Caenorhabditis elegans: one gene and its partner. The protein of the gene in region 1 interacts with the protein of each later gene in a pairwise test. Each region holds a gene or a part of one and is shown in the gene's direction. Other genes may lie near its edges.

Region 1 (11,815 bases):
AGAGGAGTATTTTCGTTTGTGAATGAAGGTAGAGACACGATACTTTTATAGAAAATTTAAAATTACAATTTCAGATGGAAGAATATTGTCCAATAGTGAAAGACTTGAATTCCTTCGTTCTCAGAAAAGAGCCAGATCCGCTTCACGCTCAAATAGTGTATGTCAAGTACCTGAAAAAGGTTCGGGAGTTTCCAATTCTGACACGTCGACTAATGGGAATTCGGATGAGAAGGACGAAGAAATTGCTAAAGAAGATGATGAAGGCATCGATGAGGATGATGGTGATGAGGAAACACCTGAACAAAAAACCACCATCCCAAAAAAGAAACCCAAAAATGCGTTTGGTGGAAAATCAAAGAAAAACAATTGGGGAACTCGGAAGAAGAGCAAAGCCAAAGTCTCTCAAGTTCAGTCCACGAGTTCCGAGAAAATCAGTAAAAAGGACCAAGAAAATGCTCGTAAGTACGAGTTTTCGAATATTGTTGCCAAATATTTTATTTTCAGGTCCGAGAGAAACTAAATTAAGAAATACGCCAACTGTCACACCAATCGACAAAAAGAGAGGTCGACCCATAAAAATCTCACCAAGAGCTGCGACGATTTCGAGTGTATCAACAAAGCCAACACATACTTCTGAATTTTTCAAAAGTTCTCCTATAACGTCACATGTGTCCAAAACTGCGGAAACTTGCTGCCAAACCGATACGGATCTCTTATTGAAATCAACATATCTCAAGGAATGCTTCAATACAACTGTCAGAGATGCCCTTGGAGAGCCGGTTGCTGCTCGGTTAAATGATATGCCAATGGTTTTGAAGAAAAAGTTTCTACTTATGATTAGAACGATTAGCGAGCAGGAGAAGCGAATTTTAAAATATGAAGAGAACGAGGAGAAAAGTCTGTTGGCAGTGAAAACGTTGAAAGACTTCGGAAGGTCTACTCGACTCGAATTTTCCGACAGTTTCCGAAATATTCGTGCTGATTTGGTTGAGAGAAAAGAAGAATTCAAAGCTCATGAAGCCGAGGTTGTAGCAGTAATAAAAAGCCAGACAAGGACATATGAAGCTTATAAGCAACAGATGCAAAAAAACGCAGAAGATCAGAAATTGGAGTACAGCGCTCTGCTGGCAAAAGTTGAGTTCCTCCAACAAGAACTAACATATGAGAAGGATCGAGCTGAATTCTATCTGCGAGCAAGAGATGTATGCAAAAAAGAACAAAATAAAGCCATCGAACAGGCGGAAACTGCTGTGAAGAACTTGAATGATCGACTTTTTCTGGCGGATAACGAGACGTGTACTCGCTGCAAAACTGTCGAGAAGATACGCAAAAAAATGACGATGGAAGTGGCTGAAATGACTGAAAAATGTGCACGGGCAAATCAGGAAAGGAATGATGCGGTGGAGAGAGCCGCGTTATTCGAGTCTGCTGCACAGAAATTGGGTAAAGATTGTGATTCGATAAAATACGAACGTGATTCTTGGAAAGCATATGCGGAACGCTACAAGAAAGATGTCATAAAATTGACTCATACTTTGAAAGGTTATTATTTTTCTAATTATTTAAATTTCAAAATATTTAATTTTCAGAAAAGGATAAAGAGCTGCTGGACAAAATCGCTGAAATCGCTGCAACGCCTAAAAGTATAACAACACCGAGAAGCGTGGCGTGTACACCGAATGATCCTGAAAGGGTTTCTCCTCCGGAAGATGGGGAGATAGTTGACACTCCACCTCATTCATCTCCTCAAGCTACACTAAATCCTGCACCGAAAGCTGTCGCCAAGCCGTTGATACAACAAATTGTTGAAAAGAAGGCGCCGCCACAAATCGCGTCCGGTTTTGAATCATGGATTCCGAAAGAAAAATTGAATGCTCCGGCGCCTTCCATTCCAAAATCGGTTTCTGCTTTTGGAGTTCCATTGAAACCGCCGAATGCTGAATCAGAGAGGCCGAAGGTTGCACCTTCTTCTCAACCGAATCCGTGGGAAAAACTGGCAAAATCCACTTCAGCAGCTGCTTCTAATTCTCTATTTGAAGCTCTTTCTAAAGTTCAAGCTGATAATTTTAGTGGCGGTGGAAGCACTCCGTCGTACTCGAAATCTTATTTGGAAGAGATGAACCGAGTAATGAGTACAAGAAAACGCGTCGTAGAGGAAGCCGCAGAGGTACAGAAAAGTAAGTTTTTTTCAGATTTATTAACTGGAAAATTATTTATTTATTTATTTCAGAGCCAAATCCTGCTCCGTCCGGTGTTACTGCGACTCCACCCAAAAAAGCAAAAACGTCAAATTCTGTTCCGCCAAACAAAATGGTGTCTGCCGCTTCTACACCTTCGTCATCGTCTACCCCAGGCCCCGCCAGTACAAGTGTCGGCAGGTTCACTAATTTGAAAAAGATTCCGAAACTTAGTGAAAAACCTCCACAAGCCGAATTTGCTCCAGCTCTCGGATTGTCTCAGAAAAGTGACGAGTCCGGTGAAATACCAGGATTGGGAATGGAAAAACTAGATGACAGTGTGAAGGAAAAAGAAAAAGAAGAGATGATGAAAAAGATAAAGCCAGCAGAATCAACGACTCCCACTGTCAAAGCATCGCCGGCTCAAAATCCGAATAAGCCAAATACTCCAGCTCAGAAGCAGAATAAGTTCAATGGCTCTCCAAATAAGAAACCAAATATGAGACCCGTCAATCGTACTGGTAATTCACAAGCTCCTCCCTGGCAAAGATCCCGACAACCATCACCACCTCCATCAAATCAGTCGCCATGGCGTCAACAACCTCAGCAACAATATGGAATACAATCGAATCAGAATCGAGGTTTCCAAATGGATTTGGGTATGGACAGGCCTTGGAGCGATTCTCCGTCTGGGCCAAGTGGTTCACGTTCAAATAAGTACGTTTTTTAATTACAAAAACCAATTTATTTCATAATTTGAAAAGTCTTTAAAATTCTAAAAATATTCTAAAGTTCAGAAATATCGCAGAAAAAAAAATAAAAAATCGAGCAATACTTTAAAAGATTCAACTTTTCTAAATTTTTAAAAATGATTTTATCAATTTTGTAAAAAATTTAAAGTGCTGAACCATTTTTTTGAATTCTCTTCGCAAATGAGTGACGTCATTTTCGCGTTTTCAGGCGATACTGATTTTTTATAATATGAAACTTTATTTGTCAGTTGTCAAACATTTTTCCGTAAAGAAAACGTGAAAATTCGAAATAAATTCGCTGAAACTTTAAAATTAGCCTGAAATTCGATAATTTATATTTGAAACACTTTTGTGCGGAAAAATGTCTAAAAATTGATAAATTATGTTTTTATAAAATTTATATTATAAAATTTAAAAAATGAAGAAAAACCAATCAGTATGGCCGAAAAACGCAAAAATGTCGAAAATTATGCCACTCATGTAATTCAGAAATAATTCATCCCTTCTTATTTTTTTCAAAATTGGAGAAATCATTAAAAATGTACAAATTTTTTAACAGTTATTTATATTCGATGCAGTGAGAATGTTCTCTGTCATTTAGGGCAAAATACCCATCAGATGAATTCCAAACCATAAGTTATTCAGTTTTAATATCCAATTTCAATTTTAGCAGCTTCTCCGACCTACCATGGCATCGAGCTCAAGATACTCCATTCGGAAAAGTTCCTATACAGGACAATTTTGCGATGAGTGGACCACGTCCGATGCCTCCGCGTCCTATGCCACCTCAACAATCTCCGTTCTTTAATAATGCTCCTGGAAACGGCTTCTATCCACCACAACCACGTGATTTTTCCCCGCCGCAACCTCCACAACAATCTCGAATGTTCCCACCGTCTCAGCCACCATTTGGATACGCTGGGCCTCCGAATCAAGGACGAGGAAACCCACGTTCATTTTACGGCTAAAATGCTCTTTCAGGACTCACCTTGTTCAATTCCTCTAATCGATCGCAAAGATCTCATCTAGTACTATTTTATAAGTAGTGTGTTTTAATTTTATAAATACCTGATGTATAGTTTTTGCTTTTTATACAATTCCTTTTTTCGTAATGAACTGTTTTAAAATTACTTATTCTTTTTAGATATTTTATATTCATTTCTTGTGTTCAGTGGATCACAATTGTGTACTTTTTCTTTTATTCATTTTAATACAAATTTATTGTTCTATTAAAAATAAGTTAGAAATTCATGAAAGTTGGGATTTTCAGTTAATCTAGAGTTCCTCTTTTCCTGGTCTGACAAGTTTCTCAAGTGAGAGATCGAAGTGAAGGTACGAGTTTCCTGGAATTGCTGGAGGTCTTCCATTTTCTCCATAAGCGAGCTCTGGTGGAATAACAACTTTTCTCTTCTCTCCCTGACACATTCCTTCCATGGCAATGTCCATTCCCTTGATAACTTGTCCGGAGCCCATTTTGAAGATAAATGGACGATTGCGGCTCCAGCTCGAATCGATGAAAGATCCATCCTCGAGATTTAGTGTGTACTGTTGATGAAGTGTATCTCCGGCTTGAGCCTTTTCGGTGCATCCCTCTACCTCGTGAGTAATGTGAATGTGAACTCCTTCATCAGTGATCCACTTGGCTCCGGGTTTTGGACGGAAGATTGATTTCAGCTCGACGAAGTAGTATAGAGTTTCTCCTTTCTAGAATAGTACAAATTACCATTTTATTTGTTTTGCAATTTAAAAATAGATTTTAAAAAATATAAATCAACTTACTCCTTCTACTTCATCTCCATCTTCGTCGAATCCTTGCTCTGGTGGAATGATCACTTTTCGCTGTTCGCCGACACACATTCCCTCCATTGCAATTTCCATTCCATGAATCACCTCGCCTTTTCCAAGAGTGAAAGTGTACGGCTTTTGGCCAAAGTTGCTTCCAATCACCTTACCTTCCTTGTCGGAAAGCTTGTAAAATTGCTCCAATTGATCTCCAGACTCGGATTTGATTTTGCATTTTGAGTCTCCAATTTTCTTGATAATTTCAATCTTGACACCTTCATCAGTGGTCCATGAACGGTCATTTGCTGCCCAACAGATGGCAAATAATGCTGAGGCAATAATTGATTTCAGCATTTTTGTGCTGGTTCGGTTTAGTCACTGAAATGGTTACTTAATTGTTGTAAATAGGCGGAATAAGTTACAAGAAAAGAAAAATCAAAACTTTTGAATTCAAAAGCACTACACGTGGAAGGAAAAGAAGGAAGCAACGACCGTCTTGCAAGTGTCTCCTTCCACTCATCTAGTTTATTCCGTTCTCGGTGGCTACCGCCACATCTCCTCTTCAGGTTTTGTTGCCGCGCAGTCCGAAGCCTGAGAGACGCAGATGAGAGACCTTCACCTTTTTATCTGCGCATTGGATCGGTTGTTTTATCAGAGAGATACTTGTTTTTTATTCACCACAAATCAATAAGTTATAGGTAACACAATTGGGAACGATTTAATGACGTGGCAAGATTATGGAAAGAGTGCGGTTTTTTTTTGGTTGGCATAAGTATTGAGATTATCGGGATCTCTGAAAATTAAAACTAGTTAGGTTTTTTGGGAAAATGAAATTTCTCACTTTGGAATTCAAATTGACTCGTTCTGTAAAACTTGTGTAGATGAGATTTCCAACTACCAAAAGTATCAATGATAACGATATGAAAATAACAAATCCGGCGGAGACACGGATCATAAGAGCAGCATAGTCGTATGGTTTCTCGATCTGAAAATCGGAAACTTTTTTTCCTAGTTGAACAATGCCTCTTTTTTGAGAAGGTAATTTTCAAATATTATATAACCAACAAAATTAACACTGTGGTTACGGTAGTATTTACAAAGTTACTGTAGACGTCGCAACGAGATATTCATTGTGCCAAATATGCTGCACAGTTCGTATAATTTCTGGCGGTTGCGTAATATATCGCAATTTTTAATCTCCTAAACTTCTCACTTGAAGGTACACGAATTCATTCATATAGGTCTCACCGCGAGGAAAATAGATCGTATTTTTTTATAATGAATATTAAAGATTTATTTATAACTCATAAATAAGAGAAAACTAGATTATTTCTTCAAATATAATAGGACTCACCTGCATTTTGGACAGATTTACTTTTGGAAAAAGATGGCGTGCTCTGTAACGACCCACTAATCGTGGAGAAAGTAAAGTGAATTTCGAAACGACGCGACGAGAGAACGTATCATGAGCGAGAAGCCGGGCAGTGTGCTTGAGAAGAGTTTGTCGAGAGCATCTTGTGCCCAGACCCAGCGCGGGAGAAAGAAAAGAGAAAGCGGTGGGAGAGGTTTTGTATTGATTTGCGGACATATAACAGATGGGGGTGGAGCTCTTGGAGTCATTTGTCAAGCTAACTTCGATCATCATTCGTCAAATTAATTTATTGGAACACAATATAATGAATGAAAGGAAAGAGTGAATTGGAAGCGTGTCGATTTACGGAGCTCGTGTACTCCCCGAGGAAAACAGTGAATTTTTGTTTTTCAAAAAAATATATAGTTCTTTGTGAAACGATTTTCGCGAATTCTTTTGTCAGTTAATTTTGAAATCGCTAATTTGTTCAATATTTTTATAGTATTCCAAATAAAATTCGCATTATTTACTGTTGTAAATCTACGAATTCTCGTTTTCTGTGGTTTTGAGTAGTAAATTAATAGATTATCCTCGAAAAAACTCGACGAAAATACACAAAATATGAGATATTATTGACGATTTAATAATCCAGAAATTTGAAAACTTGCAGGGTTATAAACCAGGAGTGCTTTTCGAACATTTTCGAGAAGTTTGCATAAATTTGCATCAGATAATACCTTTTTTCTAATTAAAAATATTTTATTCAAAATTTCAAACAACACCGTGCTAATGTGCTCTAGTGGAAAAAATCGTATTAATTTCGAAACTTTTCATATTTCTTTCTCACTTCTTCCATTGCTGCTTTTCACTTTTCTTGATAGTTCTCTTTTTTTTTGTTGAAAAAAATCTTATTTTTAAATCTTTTCAGCATGTTTTCCAATTCTTCTATGTTCTCTGATTAAAAAGCGCCGAAAAATCGATAATTTTTCTATAAAACCCATCTTCCCTTGAGAACAGTTCTTCCCCTCTAAAACGCGCATAAAACCAGCGTCTTTTACCACCTCTTCACGTTATTTTTTGCTTATTTTTAGTACTCCCTAATATTCACTACAATTACAGATGGCGAACGCTAACCTGACTCCGATGCCGTTTGTGCGAAAATTCGGATCTACCAGTACAACTGTAACTACCACAACTGACACAGATAGCCCATTATCAAAAGATGATGAGTCAGGTAAGTAATCTTAAATTTTCAAAAATTAAATTACTATGGATTTATTCGCAAAAAAAATGTTTCCGAACAAAAAACAATTTAGGGGACGAAAAAAGCGAAAAAAAACTTTTTTGAAAACGACTCCAAAAAAGAAACTTGGTTTTTTGGAAAAAAAGTATTTATAAATTTTTCAAAAAAAAAACTCAAAATCTACTTTCAGGTAAAAAACCTTCACTTGCTTCCCTAGCACAGTCAGCGTTCCCATCAAGATACGACCCGAACGCCTTTGTAGGTACGGTAGTTCATAGGAAATTAAAATCACATAATTTGTTTAATTTCAGATATATCAGGTGCCGCAATATCTGCCCCCGCAGTCACGGGAGCATGCAAAAGATGTGGATATCCGGGTCATCTATACTTCCAGTGTCGAAATCACATTGAAGTACGTCCAAATGTATCGACAAAAGCGTACGAGGTCAGTTCGACATCATCTGAATCAAGTGACGACGAGACTCCGCTCATTGCTTTGGAAAAGCAGCGGAAAAAGGAGAAAAAGCTGAAAAAGAAGGCGAAAAAAGAAAAGAAGAAGGCGAAGAAACTCGAGAAAAAGGAGAGAAAGAAGGAACGGAAAGAGAAGAGAAGGCGACGAGATGATTCTGATGATAGTAGTGATTCTGATGAGGAAGAGGATAGAAAAAGGAAGAAGAGCAAGGAAAGTAAAAAGGAAAAAAGAAAACGCCGTCATTCTTCCTCAGATGATAGATCAGCTTCTTCCGATTCTGATGATGACTGTCGTGACTCGAAACGTCACCGTAGATCATAATCGTGTAATATTGATATTTTAACTCTAAATTTTTATTCCGACAGTAACCACCTCCACATTAATATTTTCTCTATTCAAATTTCTATTGTTTCTCTTGTGTCAAAAAGTCCCCATAGTGAAGTTACTAATTAAATTAAAAACAAAAAATTTTATAACTTATTTCGACTTCACTTTAATCAAAAATTTGAGATCTTTATTGAATTTCTGTGACTTGTATTTGTTCCAAATGATCTGTTATTTTTTTTCTTCTTGTTTTTCAATTACGAATAAATTGTATTTCATTCGTCTTCCTCGCTTCGTTTTGGCGTTAGCTCGGCTGACACTGAAATTTGATGAACTTTTTAAAAGTATTCAAATTAAAATATCTGCACCTTCAGCATAAACTTCTGGATACTTTGACGACAAAACTGTTTTGAACATGCGAATTTTTTTGAAAATAAATTCCAAATCAGTTTTCATCTGCAGAATTGTCTCTTTGTGTCCCACAGAATCCCTTTTTGCTTTTTCAATTCTTCGATCGCCGAGTTGAGCGCAATTCATGAGCATTTCATTTGTCTTTTCGAAGCGTTTCAAGCTGAAAAAAAAAGAAAAATCAATAAATTCTAAATTCTCCAGTATATTACCTCTGTCTCTGAGTATCAATTATGCTTTGAATTGTGAATTCGTCGATTTGAGAAGTGAGCGAATCGATGAGATGTGGTGTTTCCTGCATATTATTAAATATTTTTATTCCTTTTTCCCATTATTATTATTAGAAAGCTTACGGGCATGTCAAATGAAGAGCCAGCGTTGCTTCTTGATGGGAAAAACGGGTTGCCAGGTAGTCGTTCTTGTTGTTGGTGATTTTTCTCAGCCATTTATAACTGAAACAAAAAATTATTAATAAATGTTTTATTCTAGACACAACAAGACATAAAACATGAATAACGGCTGAAGCAGGGATTGAGAAAAACAAGAAAAAAGCATGAGAAAATGGAAGAAAAGAGCCGCGCGCTGTGAGTGTGCAACTCGAAAATGTCAAAGCAAATTTATCGATTTACGCACGCGCGCACTTGCTGACACGCATCTGGACGGCGTTCCGTTTCATTTGAAAATAGTTAAAATTAAGCTAATTGTTGATTTATTTATTGAATATCAATTATAAATCTTTTCACGAGAATCCATTAGTGACCACCACCACGCTCCGCTAGTCTCCCCGCACCTTTATCGATTCGATTCGGTCAACCGAATGTTTGTTCAAGCTGTTGCGCATAGATTTGTGTTCTTGTTCCGCTCATATCACATATATTTTTGCAGTTTTTGATGCCAAATGGTGAGGAAACGAAGACGTTACTATACTGGAATGACATGCTAATGATGAAGATTATCGAATTTGTTGAGAGGTTCAAAGATCGAAATTCACTGGAGCTTTCGAGTCGAAGATTGAGAGAATTGTGCTTGAAAACTCCGATTTCTGGAAATTTTGCGATTCGATTGGAAGAAGATCCTAATGTGAGATTGCTTATAATTATTTTAAACCTGTATTATAATTATGTTTTATTTCAGTGGCCATCAATTCTCACTCTTCTCATGCGACCTCGTAATTTCTCGTCCCGTCTTTCAGTTCGAAACTGTTCAGATGTTCCTGAAGATGAACGTAGCGAAATAGTAGGCTATAATTACAAGGATACTATTCAAAATCCAGGTAATTACTGCAAAAACGATAATTTTCAGGAATTTATTATTAAATTTAAGATGTTTTCTTCAACGGAGTCAGCAAGCGACTTCTCAATCGGATAGTGGAGTTTGAAATTAGATGCCGTCGATTTACTGTACAAATTCTGGACAATATAGAAAAGTTTCCCAAATTAAACAGAATCATTGTGAGAAATGCACGAAACTTTTCGTTTGAATTGGATGAGGAATCAGGCGACGCCGCCGTTTTGGATCGAATCGAATCATTGGAACTTCATCTCGATCGACAATGGTGTACGGAAATTGAACGAATGAAACGACTAATAAATCCAAATTTGAAACATTTCTGCTGCCACGTCAATCCGAGCCTATCTAAAAACTCGTGGTTCATTGAAGAAATTATGGTCGAGATGGCATTGCATGAAGTTCAACTGGAAACGTGTCAGCTGGTTTTTCCTGATCCACAAATGCCGCGAAATCTTATTATTGCTTTGACTCAATTCATGTCGGATAGATCACGAGTTTTACAAGTATTCATCACAAATGGACCATATAATCTTTCACCGACAAGAAAAATGATTCCAACTTTGAATATTCAATTTCGAGACGAAGAGGATAATACTGTCAAGGATCTAGCTGATGCTTGCCCGTCGATATTCAAAAAAGCAGAAGTTATTCATATGACGAATCTTCACGAAGACGGCTTTATTCAACTCGAAACGGTTCTGCCGATAATGTACTCTGTCAAAGAGCTTCTCATATCGTATGTTCAATTTTCGAAAAAAAAAGAGTAGAGTCGTTTGCAAAATTGAAAAAAAAAAATAATACAAAATTTAGAATAATTTTATACATTTTTAAGCATCTTATATTCGGTATACTGAGACTGGTTACTGTAATTTATGGAAAAAAACCACTGTCTCTACTCCACTTTTTAATTTAAAAAAACAATTTTTCAGAAGCTGCCCTCAGAAAGAAGAGATCTGTCCAATCGATCAAATTCTTGCATTCATTCCGTCAACAGTTCGAACACTTTATCTAAATGACTGCAAGCTGACTCCATCTTCCATTGATCTATTAATTTCCCGATGTTCTACAACTCTCCGGAATCTACATTTTCATAATAATGGATCTTGTAATACTGTACAAAATTTCACAAAACTTTTGGATGGCCTTCAAGAACTAAGAATATTAGAACTGGATATGTTAATTCCGCATCTTTTATTCCCAAAAATTGTGGAGCACCAGAAATTAGAAAAACTCATTGGACTCGTGAACGGAACTCTACCGGAAAATTCATTAGAAATTGTAAGTTTAAATTCTAAAAATTATTTTTTTTTTTCAAAATTTGTGAATATTTTCAGCTACGCCAACATTTTAACCACGTCAATCTCAAGAAAATTGATCGTCAAAAACATCAACTCACGGTTTCCAATCCATCTCATCACTGATCTCCAAAAAAAAACCATATTTGATCTCATTTCTGTGATTTTGAAAATTAAACGAAAAATCTAAATAGTCGAAAAATTTTATAAATAAGTTTTAATTTTTATTTTTGAACTTTTCAGTTTGTTTTTTGATGGTTCGTAAATCCATTAATATTATTTCAAACGACTTCCCAATTTTTAGTTTCAAATTTTAAATAGCTCCCCTCCTCTTTAGAAGATCCATAAAAATGAGTGATGTGCTCCGAAACCTTCAAGAATTTCGAAAAGAGAAAGAGAAAATAAAGTTAAAAGAAAGGCAAGAAGTCGAGCAAACTACACAAAAAGACGTGGAAAATGTGATAAAGAAAGAATCGCCGAATGGACGGGAATGGAACTTTTTGACAAAGGCTGAGCCGGTGCCAGAGGATTATGGTGAGCTTTTTTTTTTGGAAAAGAATCGAAAAGTTGAGATATTTGGAAAAAAACTTTAAAATTATTAGAAAACTTTTCTCAAAGTAAAAAAAAAACCATTTTGCATTTAAAACCCTATTGAAATTATGTTTTAAAACTTTATTTCGATGAAAAACGTTTTTTTTTAATTTTTGAAATTAATTTTAAA
Region 2 (12,192 bases), on another chromosome or scaffold:
AGATCCTAAAATTGAAATTATTCAGTTTAAATACAATATATGCATTGCACTGACCGGTCCTCCGGTTTGCTCGAATGCGGCAGCCATTTCTTCAGCAGTCGACGACATCTCGTTGGTAATTTTCTGCAACAAAAAATTATTATAAAGCTTAGAGACGTGTAAGCAACACAAAAATGAGAGAATGAACCGACACAAGAATGACCAAAACAAGTGTTATCAAAGTGAAATGGACGATGATTGGCAGTTGCATGATTAGAAAGAAGTAGGCAGAAAAGGGAGGAGAGTGCCAAGAAAACAAAACTGTGAAAGAACCGATTGAATAGCATTTGAAACGATTGGAGTGTGTTTATTTGAAGGACGATAGTGACAAATCTAAATTTTGGCGCGCGTAGTGTTGACGAAGATCAAATCTATTTACAAGTGTAAATGTTTAAAATCGATAATTTGAAATTTTCGATTAGGAATAAGGCTGAAAAGTATTTAAACAAAGCTTCAATTGAGAAATACCAGAAAAATTCGTTAAAAATTTTCAACGAGTTTAAAGGAGGGCGCATTTGTGTGGAATTTGTGTGGCGTAGAGATTTCTTTATTGATTTTTCTCGTTTTTTTTTTTTAATATTCTGACTTATATTGCGTTTATCAGCCATAATAAATGTTAAAAAGGTCGAAAATGAGAAAAATCAATGGAGAATGAAAAACAACTCTAAATGAGAGTGCGTTTTTGTAGAAAAGCTCTACAAAAGTGAGAAATAAAGTAACGTTTTCAGGCTTTTTTTCAAGAATAGAAATCTGCCTGAATATTTTTAGCGAATCAACAGCAGACGGACAGTTTCATTCAAATACTCGTATTTATACATTTGCGTTGGCGCCAGAGACACGTGATGGATAGACGAGCGGAGACCATCGAAAAAAGTAAAAATGAAAAGAGACGCAGAGCAGCACATTTTGAGGGCTGACTTGTTTCTGCTAGATATATTGGTGCGGTGTCATCGAAGGCACAGAACAAAAAGAAAAAAGAAGCAAGAAAGAAAAAAAAGAAACGAACAAACAAGACAAAAAAAATAAATCGATCGGAACAAAGCACCGATAGATCATAAAATGGTGATAAATAAAACAATGTATATCGAAAAGAGGAATGATTTATTTTTTCAATGGAGGGAATGAACACAATCTCATTAAGGCCTTAGAATGAGAAAATTCGGCAAGTGATACAGTTTTTGATCATGGACCTGTGACAATAAGTCAAAATTGCAAGGGGTGAATTAAAGGTTTACAAAGGATAAAGAAATACATTTATGTCGTGGAGCGCAAAGTAGGAACGTGTCTTGTCGTGAGCATTTAAGCCGAATAAGGAGAATAAGCTGGTGGAGCGGTTCCGTGGTCATTCTGAAATAATTTTAATTTAAACATTTATTAAGCTTTGTAGAAAGACAACAAAGGAAACAGTAGGATGAATCATGGACAAGAAACCGACCCCCTTGTAATAAATTTCAAAAAAAAAGTCACCATTTTATCAAGATTCAAGGGTATCTGTTGTTCTGAAATTTGACAAATCACTATCTTTTTCCTTTTGGCTAATCTTTTTTCCAACTATCCACTTACAGTCTGCACGTATATGTTCTGAACGACAGTCTTCTCCTTGCAAAGGATGATGTACCACGCGTGAATGATTCCTGGGATGATCCCGAGACAGGTGAGAAGAATGTTGATGAGGAGGTCACAGTTGCATCCAACATCCAGAAGCACAGCGATTGGCTGGAAAATAGTGGTTGAAGAATGGTTTCAGACTGAAGAACTCACCGGAAGGAAAATTGCAAGGATGGCGAGAAGAATCTGGCACATTTCGTTTTCGTTTCGACGAGACTTGAGCTGAAAAACAGAGATTATTGGGAGAATTGCAAGTATTGAAGATAGATTAAAAAAGTGTGAGATTTCGGTGATTAAATTAAACTATAAAGTCATCACTTCCAGCAACACGGAAGGTTTATCGATTGACGATGAATCAAAAAATTGCGCAATCGACGAACGCGATTGTGGTTAGAATCACAAGACAACACCTCGCTCGTTGGCTATCGCTGTGTGTCTGCTCTCTCTTCAGAACTCTCGTGCTCTAATACAGAGAAGCATGAAATGTGGTGCTTGGTGCCTAAGGAATTTTTTAATATAAAAGTTGACGTGTCAGAATCATTCATTTGAAGAAAATGCAGAAGAAGAAGTAGAAATACTGTGAAAATTGTTTTTAGTATGGGTTGTAATTGTTTATTTCAGACAGTAAATTGTAAAGCTAAATATGTTGTGAAAACAATTTAATTTTAGAAATATTATTTTTAATCTTCAATCAATGTAGCAATTTTCAAGAGAAAATAATGCGAAAACCTGATTTTCTTTTGATAAAAAAGAATAAAGTTTGAAAAACAAACATGTAAACAAGTTACGGTGAATGTTCACAGAACCTGCATACAGATTCGGTGTTTGCGTACATGTGTACCGTACCCACAAACAAAAAACATGCGTTGATTGGAAATTTCGCAATTAACTTTTATTTTTGTCACTAAAATTATTATTAAAATATTTAGTTTCATAATTTCTCATAAAATATTTTCAGATAATGTCCGATATTGAGATTATTGAAGAAATTCAACCAGTTTCGTTGAAGCGGAAGCAGCCGAGTACTTCTTTCAATGGAAAAAGGTTTCTTTTTGGAAAATAATCGAATTTTTTGATATTTTCCTTTTTAGAAAAAGAACTTCTTCTGGGCTTATAGAAAAAAGCGAAACAATGAAAGGAACGGAAACAGAGTTTGAGGTAACCTTCACAATATTCACTTCAGTTGATTTTTTTTGTTTTTCAGAAGTTCGTCATTGATCGCACCATCACTCCACAAAGAAAATTGAATGCAGAAGATGTAGAAAAAAGTGGAGAAGATATAGGGTAAAAAAATATATAGTTAATTCAATGACTTTTCCAATAAAAATTCATTGCAGGTCGAGCGAGTGGCGTAAACGCCTTGAATGCACTCTTCTCGGAAGCGTTTCGACCCCAGTAACTGTGAAGAAGGAGAATAACATTAGAAAGAAAATAGTAAGCTTTTATTCATTCACAAAGCTTCTTAAACTAGGAATTTGTTTCAGTCTTGTTTCAATTGTGATGGCGAACACAACCTGAGAGATTGTACTCAGCGGAAAGATTTCAGACGAATTTCAAGGAAAAAGAGGGAATCTGGTGATGGAAGGCAAAGAGTTTTCTATAATGACGTTGGAATATCAAAACAAAGAGAGAAACATTTCAAACCTGGTGTGATCAGCGATAGATTAAGAGCCGCTCTTGGATTGCGTGGGAATGATATTCCGGAGCACATTTATCGAATGAGAAGACTTGGGTTAATCGATGGATATCCGCCAGGCTGGTTGAGAAAGTATGAAAATGGTAAATTTATGCAATTTAATATTGTTATTAATTTCAGATCAATCAAATCCACCGATCAATTGAAATTCTTCGACTCGACATCCAAAGAAGATGATGAAATGTCAGTGAAGCCTCCTGAATTAGATACATCGAAAATTGTATGGTATCCAGGATTCAATGGAGAACAATCTTCTCTAAATGATGTAAGAACAAATATGTTGTCACTTTAGAAATTACATTTTTATAGCGTGAAGACTTCAAGATTCCACCAAGAGATGTATTTTGCTCAGTTTATCAAGATGAATTGCTGAAAATATTCAAGAAAAGTGAAAAAGCGGAGAAACGAAGAGCCAAATCAACTCCGAAACATAAAAAGTTCGCTAATGAAGATGATGATGATGTTATAGTAATCACAAGTGATGAAATCAAAATTGACAAGTTCAATACTCCGGGAGAAGTAAATTAAATTAAAATAAAAATTCAATATCAGTTACTTTTCCAGGAAGATTCCATTATAATACTCGACGGCTCTGCTTCAACAGAAGAAAAACACCTTTTGACTCCGATTCGAAAAGATGTAAAACTAGGAGAATCGATGTTTGAATTAATCGGAACTCCAGTGTTTGGTAGCTCTCTTCTTACTCCTGTTGCTCCACTTGAAGCGTTTGCCGTCGGAATTCAACCATTTGAAGCAAGAGAAGAACTTACTGGATGCAAGGGAAACTTCAGAAATCTCATGGACAAATTGAAAGAAATCCGCGAAAATAACTTCGTTCCGGAGCCTGAAGAAGAAGTTATTTTGGTTTCAACGAATGAAATTTCGTCGTCGAATAACTCTGGAACTGCTAAGAACAAAAATAATCAGAACAGGAAAAGAAATAGAAGACATGCTAAATGAATTGGCTTTTTGAAAAATCCTTTTGTTGAATTATTGTTGTTGCTTAAAATTGTTGTTGTTGTTCCATATTTTTACGCAAAACTACCATGATAAAACCTTTTTTCTTGATTTTCCAACCTCTCTCTTGTTGTAAATGGTTCCGAATGTCCACAATCTTCTATTTTGGTCATCAATTATATCTTTATCTCTGCGTTTCTTTCACTCTTGCCGCTTTCCGATGGATTGGTGACACACAGCAAATATCGGTTTTCTCAATTTAAACTAAATTGGTCTAATTGGCTTATGTTTAATCAGATTATTTCGAGAAACCTGTGAATATTAAAAAGATGGTATAGGTTTTGAGGGATTTTTTGCCGAATTTATTTTTTAGAAAGTGATGGAATTTTTTATGATTGCAAATTTTTTTAAAAATTATTTAAAAACGAGCTGAATTATTTTTTGAATTCCCGCGCAAACGAATTCCTAAAGTTTCGACGTTTTCAGGTTATATTATTAAGGTTTTTATTAAATTATTGATTCGAAACATAATTTTGTAAAACTTTCATACATTTTTTCCCGCAAAACAAGTTTACATTATTGATTTGAGGCCAGATTTAGAGTTTCAGAGAAGTTCTTTAGATTAACAAAATAAAATAAAAAGAAACCCCAATTAATATAGCCGGAAAAAGCAAAAAATATCGAAATTGTGTAGATCACTTGCGCGGGAATTCAGAAAAAGTTTAGCCTTTTTAATCATTTTTTTTCCAAAATTGAAAAAAATCATTTAAAACAATGTTCAAATTTTGTAATTTTGTTACAGTTATTTTCGGTAAATATATTGAGATTGTTATTGTTAATTAGAAGGAAAACCTACAAAATCTGCTCCCATACCATGCATAACTATATTTAAGATCCGAAATCTTATTCAAAAAAGTAATAAAATTAATTGAAACCTTTTTTCCAGGCCACCAGTTGTTCTTATCATTCATTCGTGACAATTTATTCATTGCATTCTTTTTCTTTCGTTCAGGCAGCGGTCCACTGGCTTGTCCATCCGATTGTTTGCACATAAAGTGTATGATGACTCATCACATTCCTTTTCCCTCTCTTCTTATTCTGTTCTCACTCAAAATAATTTTTTGTTATGATTTTCAACCTTCTTCGTCTCGAACTAAATTTATGAATTTTTTGAAATATTCAAAGTTTTCAGCGGATTCTTTCCATCGTTTCTAAATCACAAAACACAATGGTTGATCGACTTGGTAAGTTTTATTTATTTTCTTTTATAAAATAATTTATTAAATTTTAGTGAATAGTGAAGTGAATTCCCGTCGAATGGCTAACGTAGAACAATGCTTTGGAAAAATGGGAGAACAATTGTCGGTATTCGGACGAGTTCTTGTCGGAGAAGGTGTTCTTGTGAAAATGTGCCGAAAGAAACCGAAGCAACGGCAATTCTTCTTGTTCAATGATATTCTTGTATATGGAAACATTGTGATTTCGAAAAAGCGATATAATAAGCAAAGAATTCTAAGATTGGAAGGTGTACAAGTAGAAGATCTGGAAGACGATGGAATTGAGAAACATGGATGGATTATTAAGACACCTGCAAAATCGTTTGCAGTTTATGCAGCAACTGAAACTGAAAAACGAGAATGGATGTTGCATATTGAGAGATGCGTTACAGATCTCCTTGAAAGAGGTAATACACGAAAATTATTTTCAAAAAATTTCCACCAAAAAATTGCAGAGAAAGTTTGAAACCACCGTAATCTTTAAAGGCGCTTACCATTTTCCGTTTCAAAAAATCTTGTCGTTTCGAGACCGAAAACCGTATTTTTAATGCAACAATCGCAACATTTTTCGTCTAATTAATATTAAGCTTAAATAAGTCTTAGGCGCATTGTGGTCTTTTTATTTAAAAAAATGTTGGCAGCAATGTTCAATTTAATTTATAAATTGTGATGCAAAATTGGTCCATAGATCGACAAGTTACAGTAATTTGTTGTCCGCCTGGCGAGACCCATGCGCCTAAGATAGGTGAAAAATTCTCATATTTAAATGACCAATAATATACGTTCTACAAAAAAATTGGGAATCACCATATCTCTAAATTAAAACGGTTTTTTAGATAAATTATTTTTTTCTATTAAAAATACAATCAAAATTTTCTACTTTCAGGAAATAAGCAAGCCGCGACTGCTCACGCAGCTGTATGGGTTCCCGATGGTGAAGCAGTGAAGTGTATGGTCTGCGGGAAAACTCAATTCAATCTGGTTCAAAGAAGACATCACTGCAGAAATTGTGGACGTGTCGTGTGTGGCGCCTGCTCATCGAGAACATTCCGTATTGACAATGTACATAAGAAGCCTGTCCGAGTTTGTGATCATGTACGGTGAAGTTTGACACTTTATCGTCTAAATATCATGATTTTTCAGTGCTTTGACAGTCTGAGTAGTGCCACACCAGGACAAGAAGAAAGTGAACCAAAAACGGGAAATCGCTTGCACCATGAGGATTCCTCCTCGGATAGTGAAGACGAGGTCAATGGTAGTGGACGATCGAGTAATGAGAGCCGGGTATACTGAATATTGCCTAATCTTTCAATAAACATACAAATTTCAGCCAACATTCTACCGTGAGGACGTTCAGCAGCCGGCAACATAGTTCAACGCATATAAACTACGATGAAAATTCTAAAATCCACGTCCTCATTCCTACTACTAAATTAATATTATATTTTCTTAAACGTTCCTGTGATATACAGCAATTGTACGTATTTTTTTTTGTTGCTTCCAACGACTTTTACAATTCCTGAAAAAAAGTTATTTCCTTTTTCTTCAATTCAAGATTATTCAGAACTGCACAAAATTAAAACGACCACATGACAGAAGGAATCATTTTAATAATCATGAATTACAGAAATGATCAAATTTCTTGTCCTTACAAGAAACAGCGCAATTAACTGAAGTGTTCAGAGAAACGTATGGTCCATTCGGCTTGGAATCATATAAATGTTCTTAAATTATTAAAAGTAAAATAAATGTTTTATTTACATATGATTAGTGAAATCAGAGCACAAAAGTGTGCAATGAAAAATAAATTTTATTTTCTGGAGTACTGTAAGCGGGCACATGGTGTATTGTACGCAGAGTTCTTCGAGTGTTTGCGTATCCACGTTGTTCTCCACGTGGACAAAACGCGCGGCACGTTTACTTTCTGAAAATTCGTTTTATTTTTGCATTACTGTCTTCTTAAAAGCTGAAAATGGCTGCAAACGAAGTGTAAATTTCATAAATTCCTAAGCTTTTATTCATATATATATATATATATATATTTCATCATGTCCTATTTTTGCAGTGATTCCATGGAACCAGGAGAATTGATGGAAGTGGATACGAGCCAGGAGCTGGATGAAAACACTTCGGCGAAGGAAACGGACCAGCCGAGTTCGTAATAATGTTACCATTCGAAATAACCTTGTTCAAAAGTTTTCAGAAGATGCTCAAAATGATCCAGAAATTGTATGCGGCGATAGTAATGAGGTCAAGAAGGAGTCTCCGAGTGTAGAAGAGGATCAGTCAAGTACTGAAACTATGTCTAATGAATTTGAAGTGGCCGCTGCAATTCTCGAACAAGAAAACGAAGATTCCGGTCAGAACGCCCCCAGTTTGGGAGAATTGCTGTCTCGGAGTGTGAAGTTAGAAGCTTTTTTTGTTACTTATTTTAAAAACATCATTTCAGTAATTACCACCCTGAACATTACTCTTCACCACCTCTCATGCGTAAACCCGATTTCCGTTTTCCAATCATTAATCCTGGTTTGTAGAAAAACACGTTTACTTAAAAGATATTGTGAATTACAGAGAAAGCTCAAGGAAAACTATTCGTTCTCTATCAGCTGATTATTACCGTTCCGGACTCGTTGAAGAAATTTCCTCCGTACACATCAGAAACAGTTTGCTGCCAACTGTGCGGAATCGATTTGATGGGATCAGCTATGTTTGCTCATCTGATCACTATCCAACATCTTAAGTTATAGAACTGCTTGTTCTCAGAGAATGACGTCGATTTCTGGATTTATAAAGTGAACAGTGTAATCGAGCAGGCGCCTTCAAATGGTAAAGCTCAGTTTACGTTCTTTTGTTTTACTTTTGATTTCAGCTCTGATCCTACCAGGTTTCAACCCTGATACAAATGTGAACTTCTCGGAAACGGTCGGCGAATTCATCAATCGATCGAAGGGATTCGTTAAGAAACCGAGTACGATTAAAAAAGTTCCGTTGTTAATGGAAATAATTTAAATAAATCAGACCTCGAGCAGATCAAAGCCGTCATTGGTGCAGTGATCGATATTAAGGCAGCTGTTGAATATTCGTCAATGAAAGCGAATAGGCCAAGTAAAAACAAAGTTAGGAGCAAGAATTCTAATTCAGAGCAAAAGCGAACCGGAAACTTCCTCTCTCAAGTCGTCGAAAATCTCATGACCAAGGTTGACGCGAATATCTTATCGAGGAGGGTTGGAAAACTATTCAAGAATCACGTATGTTGCTTTCGAAAGTATTGTAATTTTACTCAATTATTTCAGAATGAGTGCACTTTCTGCAACATAAAATTTATTTCATTTTTTGAAATGTGCCGTCACGTGGGAAGCATTCAACTCAGAATGAAGGTAATTTTAATTGAATGTTTCGCCGTTCTGCCGTCTTCCAATAATTCTAAATAATTTCAGATTAACCACTTGCGTTATCAAGATGTCCATGTTGGAACTTGGGTGCGTTTTCTGGCTTCGGCAACTCCACAGAAACAAACAATTGAAGATGTAATTGACGGAGGCTCTTCGAAAAAGGTGCATTCACCTGAAATAATCTATATTGACTAATATATAATATTTTATCGTGTTTTATAGGATCTCAATTCGCTTTTATTAATCTTGTGTCATAGAAATTCCTATGTATTCGTTTCTTTTTCTTGTAAAGTAATTTATTTTTCTTCTATAATATAAACTTTTTTGGAATTGTATCGTTTATATAATTTCGAATATAGTGTATACTTTACACTTTTTTATATCTTTGATATTTTCTTCCGAAGGAAGCCAGTTTTAAGAACTAATATGCTGTACTTACCATTCGTTGTAGGATTTCTGAGAAAACTCATCTCAATTTTTTTAAAAAATAGTTCAGATTTTCTGCGATTTCATTTTTTGGAAATTATATTTTAATGAACAATTAGGTAATTTAATGCAATTTTTTAAAGCCGTTGTGTGCTTATGGGGATAAAATTGTATCATTCCAATAGACCCAGTTTTTAACATTTTTTCTTGCAGAAATATTATCTGACTATTCGTTTCTTCTTTGAAAATTTTTTGATTTATCCGTATTTTTTCATATAATTTTCAAATTTTTCTTCCAAAAACCAAAAAAAAGTTAATTTTAAAAAAGTTAAAAAGTTTATAAAAAAATAATATTTTTGACTTTCGAAAAATAAAATCAAAAAGCCGACACCATTGCTTTTTGTTATACGAAGTAATTTAGAAAACCTCTTTGAATTTTATGAATTCAAAGAATAATAACTATGTTTCAAATAATAATATTTATTTCAGAATGGAGATGGAAGACATAGACGACGATATAACTGTGTTCTACACTGACGATCGTGGTACAGTACAGTAGGTTTTCTATTCTTTTATGAAGTTTTAAGTAATTTCATTTTTCAGAGGACCATACGGAGCCTCAACTGTGCTTGATTGGTACCAGAAAGGATATTTCTCGGACAATCATCAAATGAGATTCACTGACAATGGACAACGAATTGGGAATTTATTCACATATGAAACTACATTGGGTGAGATGAAAGCGAGATATGGAGAAGAAGCACCGATTCCGACGAAACTCGAAGATTTTAATTTTCGTGGATTCTCAATTAAACCGAAATCTAATAAAAGACAACTCGATAGAGATCCACTTAAATTACCAAGGAAAGTGAATCCGAGAGATCTGGAACCAACCGATGCCAGAAACAGGAATGGAAATTATGAAAATCGAAATGAATATGGTTATAACTGTGATAGACAAAGTACAAGCGCAGTGGATTCTAGGAACCAATCTGTACCGCCCGGTATGTTTTTTTTCAGAAAAGATACTTACCGTATTTCCTCTATTAGTCCGGCAGCCTCTATTAGTCTTGCACCCCTACGGACCAATCGAAAATTAGTCTTGCAGCCTCTATTAGTATTGCATGCAAGACTAATAGAGGAAATACGGTGATAGTCTTGCACCCCTATTCCTGCCAGACCAGCAGTATTTTGTGAAAATAATAATAATTGTTTATTTGTCACAAGAAAGAGCTACACCGGAAGATTAAAAAAAAGTAAATAAAATGATGTGTGGACAAATAAGTAAAATGACCAGTTGGACCAGCTATAGCCCGGGAGGTCAAGTTGAGGGGAAGAGGGTGTCGAATGGAATAGAGCCTAGGCGCGACGCAAATGCATTTGGAGTTAACAATTGAGGGAAACGTTTTGCTATTCGATTCCACAACGACAAGTTAACATGTAAAAAAAATTTAGACGGGACACCACAGATAACAAGTAGATAGGGGTGACGAGTAGAGCGTGAAGCTCGAACAAACGATGATAAGGACGGGAAGTGATACTCGCTTGAAATAATTTTATGGAAGGTTCGGAGGATTTGAAGAACCCGTCTGTGGTGAGTAGACAATAAATTAAATTGTGAAAGCCTGCTGCTGTATGACGAGTAAGATAAATTGCACCTTTGAAAGACACACTTTGAGAAAAACCGGAGGGGAGATTCTAGTTTTTTGGCAAGTTCGGTGGAGTTGGGCGGGAAGAGCTCGCAGCCATATTCGAGTACGGGGCGGATGTAAACATTGAACAGTTTAAAATAGAATTCGGGACTTTTAGAGCGGAATGAGCGAAGGATTTGGCGACACTTAAGGAGGGCACTATTAGAAGTCTGATTAATATGATTTACAAATGATAATTTGGTATCGACAATGATTCCGAGATCTCTGATAGAATCACGCGGTTTAATTTCAACACTATTTACAAAGTATTTATGACGGGGGTTCTTTTTACCAAAGTGTAATACGGCAGTTTTTTGCTCAGCAAGATTTAGACGCCATTAAAAAAAAAAAAAAACTTCAAAAATTTCGCCATTTTTTAGTTAAAATAAATTTTAAAGTGTTCAAGTAATTGATAAAACAATAGAAAAGCATGTATTTTGCACGATTTAGACTGTTTCAAGCCAAATTTTTGACGATAAATGATCAACTTTACAAAGCTATTGGATCTTCGAAAATTAGTCATGCATGCAATACTAATAGAGGAAATACGGTAATTATTTCTGGAAACTAAATAATATTACTTGAGCACTAAATTCTGAGAATGCCTATTACGCAGCATATTTGATTTTCTCAATTTTCTTTAGTTTTTCGTGCTTTCTCTATGTATTCTTTCAATATTTTACCGATTAATAAATGATTTCCGTAAATCGACACAAGCGCTACAGTAGTCATTTAAAGAGTTACTGTAGTTTTCGCTCCGAGATATTTTGCGCGTCAAATAATATGTTGCGCAACACGCATTCTCGGAATTGAGTGTTCCCTTAATAAATAATATTTCAAAATATTTAGAATCGCCCACTAGAACAACAAAAAGAAGCAAGAAAAAGATGTTTGTCTGGAAATTCGGGACCCGAACCGGGAGAAATAAACACTGATTCGCAAGAAATGTCCGATATGGTACCATATGGACCGGTATTTATAATCATTATTCATTTTCCAGTATTCTCAAAATTATTACAGGAGCCACCTCCTCCGAAAAAACGAAATGATGAATATGTTCTTCGTTCAAAAGGAAATATTCGATCCAGTGATGAGAAAAGGCTGAC

Evidence for each region.
Region 2: the proteins of C13F10.7 (region 1) and ZK632.12 interact in a two-hybrid assay, tested with the Caenorhabditis elegans proteins (2 studies listed by BioGRID).

What each region holds. Positions count from the first base shown.
Region 1 is NC_003283.11:7,218,619-7,230,433, reverse strand, and holds C13F10.7 (CCHC-type domain-containing protein), read left to right. Parts: upstream 1-7,181; coding exon 7,182-7,296; intron 7,297-7,495; coding exon 7,496-7,567; intron 7,568-7,616; coding exon 7,617-8,098; 3' UTR 8,099-8,376; downstream 8,377-11,815. Other genes in the region: gei-6 (GEX Interacting protein), read left to right, coding at 1-28, 75-458, 505-1,542, 1,590-2,177, 2,231-2,894, 3,600-3,897; fkb-3 (peptidylprolyl isomerase), read right to left, coding at 4,205-4,633, 4,709-5,065; C13F10.1 (50S ribosomal protein L6), read right to left, coding at 5,493-5,504, 5,553-5,696, 6,066-6,356; kxd-1 (KxDL domain-containing protein), read right to left, coding at 8,377-8,420, 8,470-8,672, 8,722-8,804, 8,863-8,955; C13F10.6 (FTH domain-containing protein), read left to right, coding at 9,455-9,589, 9,644-9,782, 9,833-10,535, 10,729-11,077, 11,134-11,220; C13F10.5 (SAYSvFN domain-containing protein), read left to right, coding at 11,445-11,628.
Region 2 is NC_003281.10:9,825,310-9,837,501, forward strand, and holds ZK632.12 (uncharacterized protein), read left to right. Parts: upstream 1-5,492; 5' UTR 5,493-5,528; coding exon 5,529-5,544; intron 5,545-5,591; coding exon 5,592-5,984; intron 5,985-6,463; coding exon 6,464-6,672; intron 6,673-6,720; coding exon 6,721-6,861; intron 6,862-6,907; coding exon 6,908-6,949; 3' UTR 6,950-7,114; downstream 7,115-12,192. Other genes in the region: ZK632.9 (uncharacterized protein), read right to left, coding at 1-5, 55-108; UPF0057 membrane protein ZK632.10, read right to left, coding at 1,339-1,386, 1,603-1,755, 1,801-1,842; ZK632.11 (uncharacterized protein), read left to right, coding at 2,609-2,691, 2,739-2,805, 2,852-2,931, 2,985-3,081, 3,132-3,415, 3,464-3,608, 3,653-3,862, 3,908-4,303; K11H3.8 (GYF domain-containing protein), read left to right, coding at 9,886-9,950, 9,999-10,399.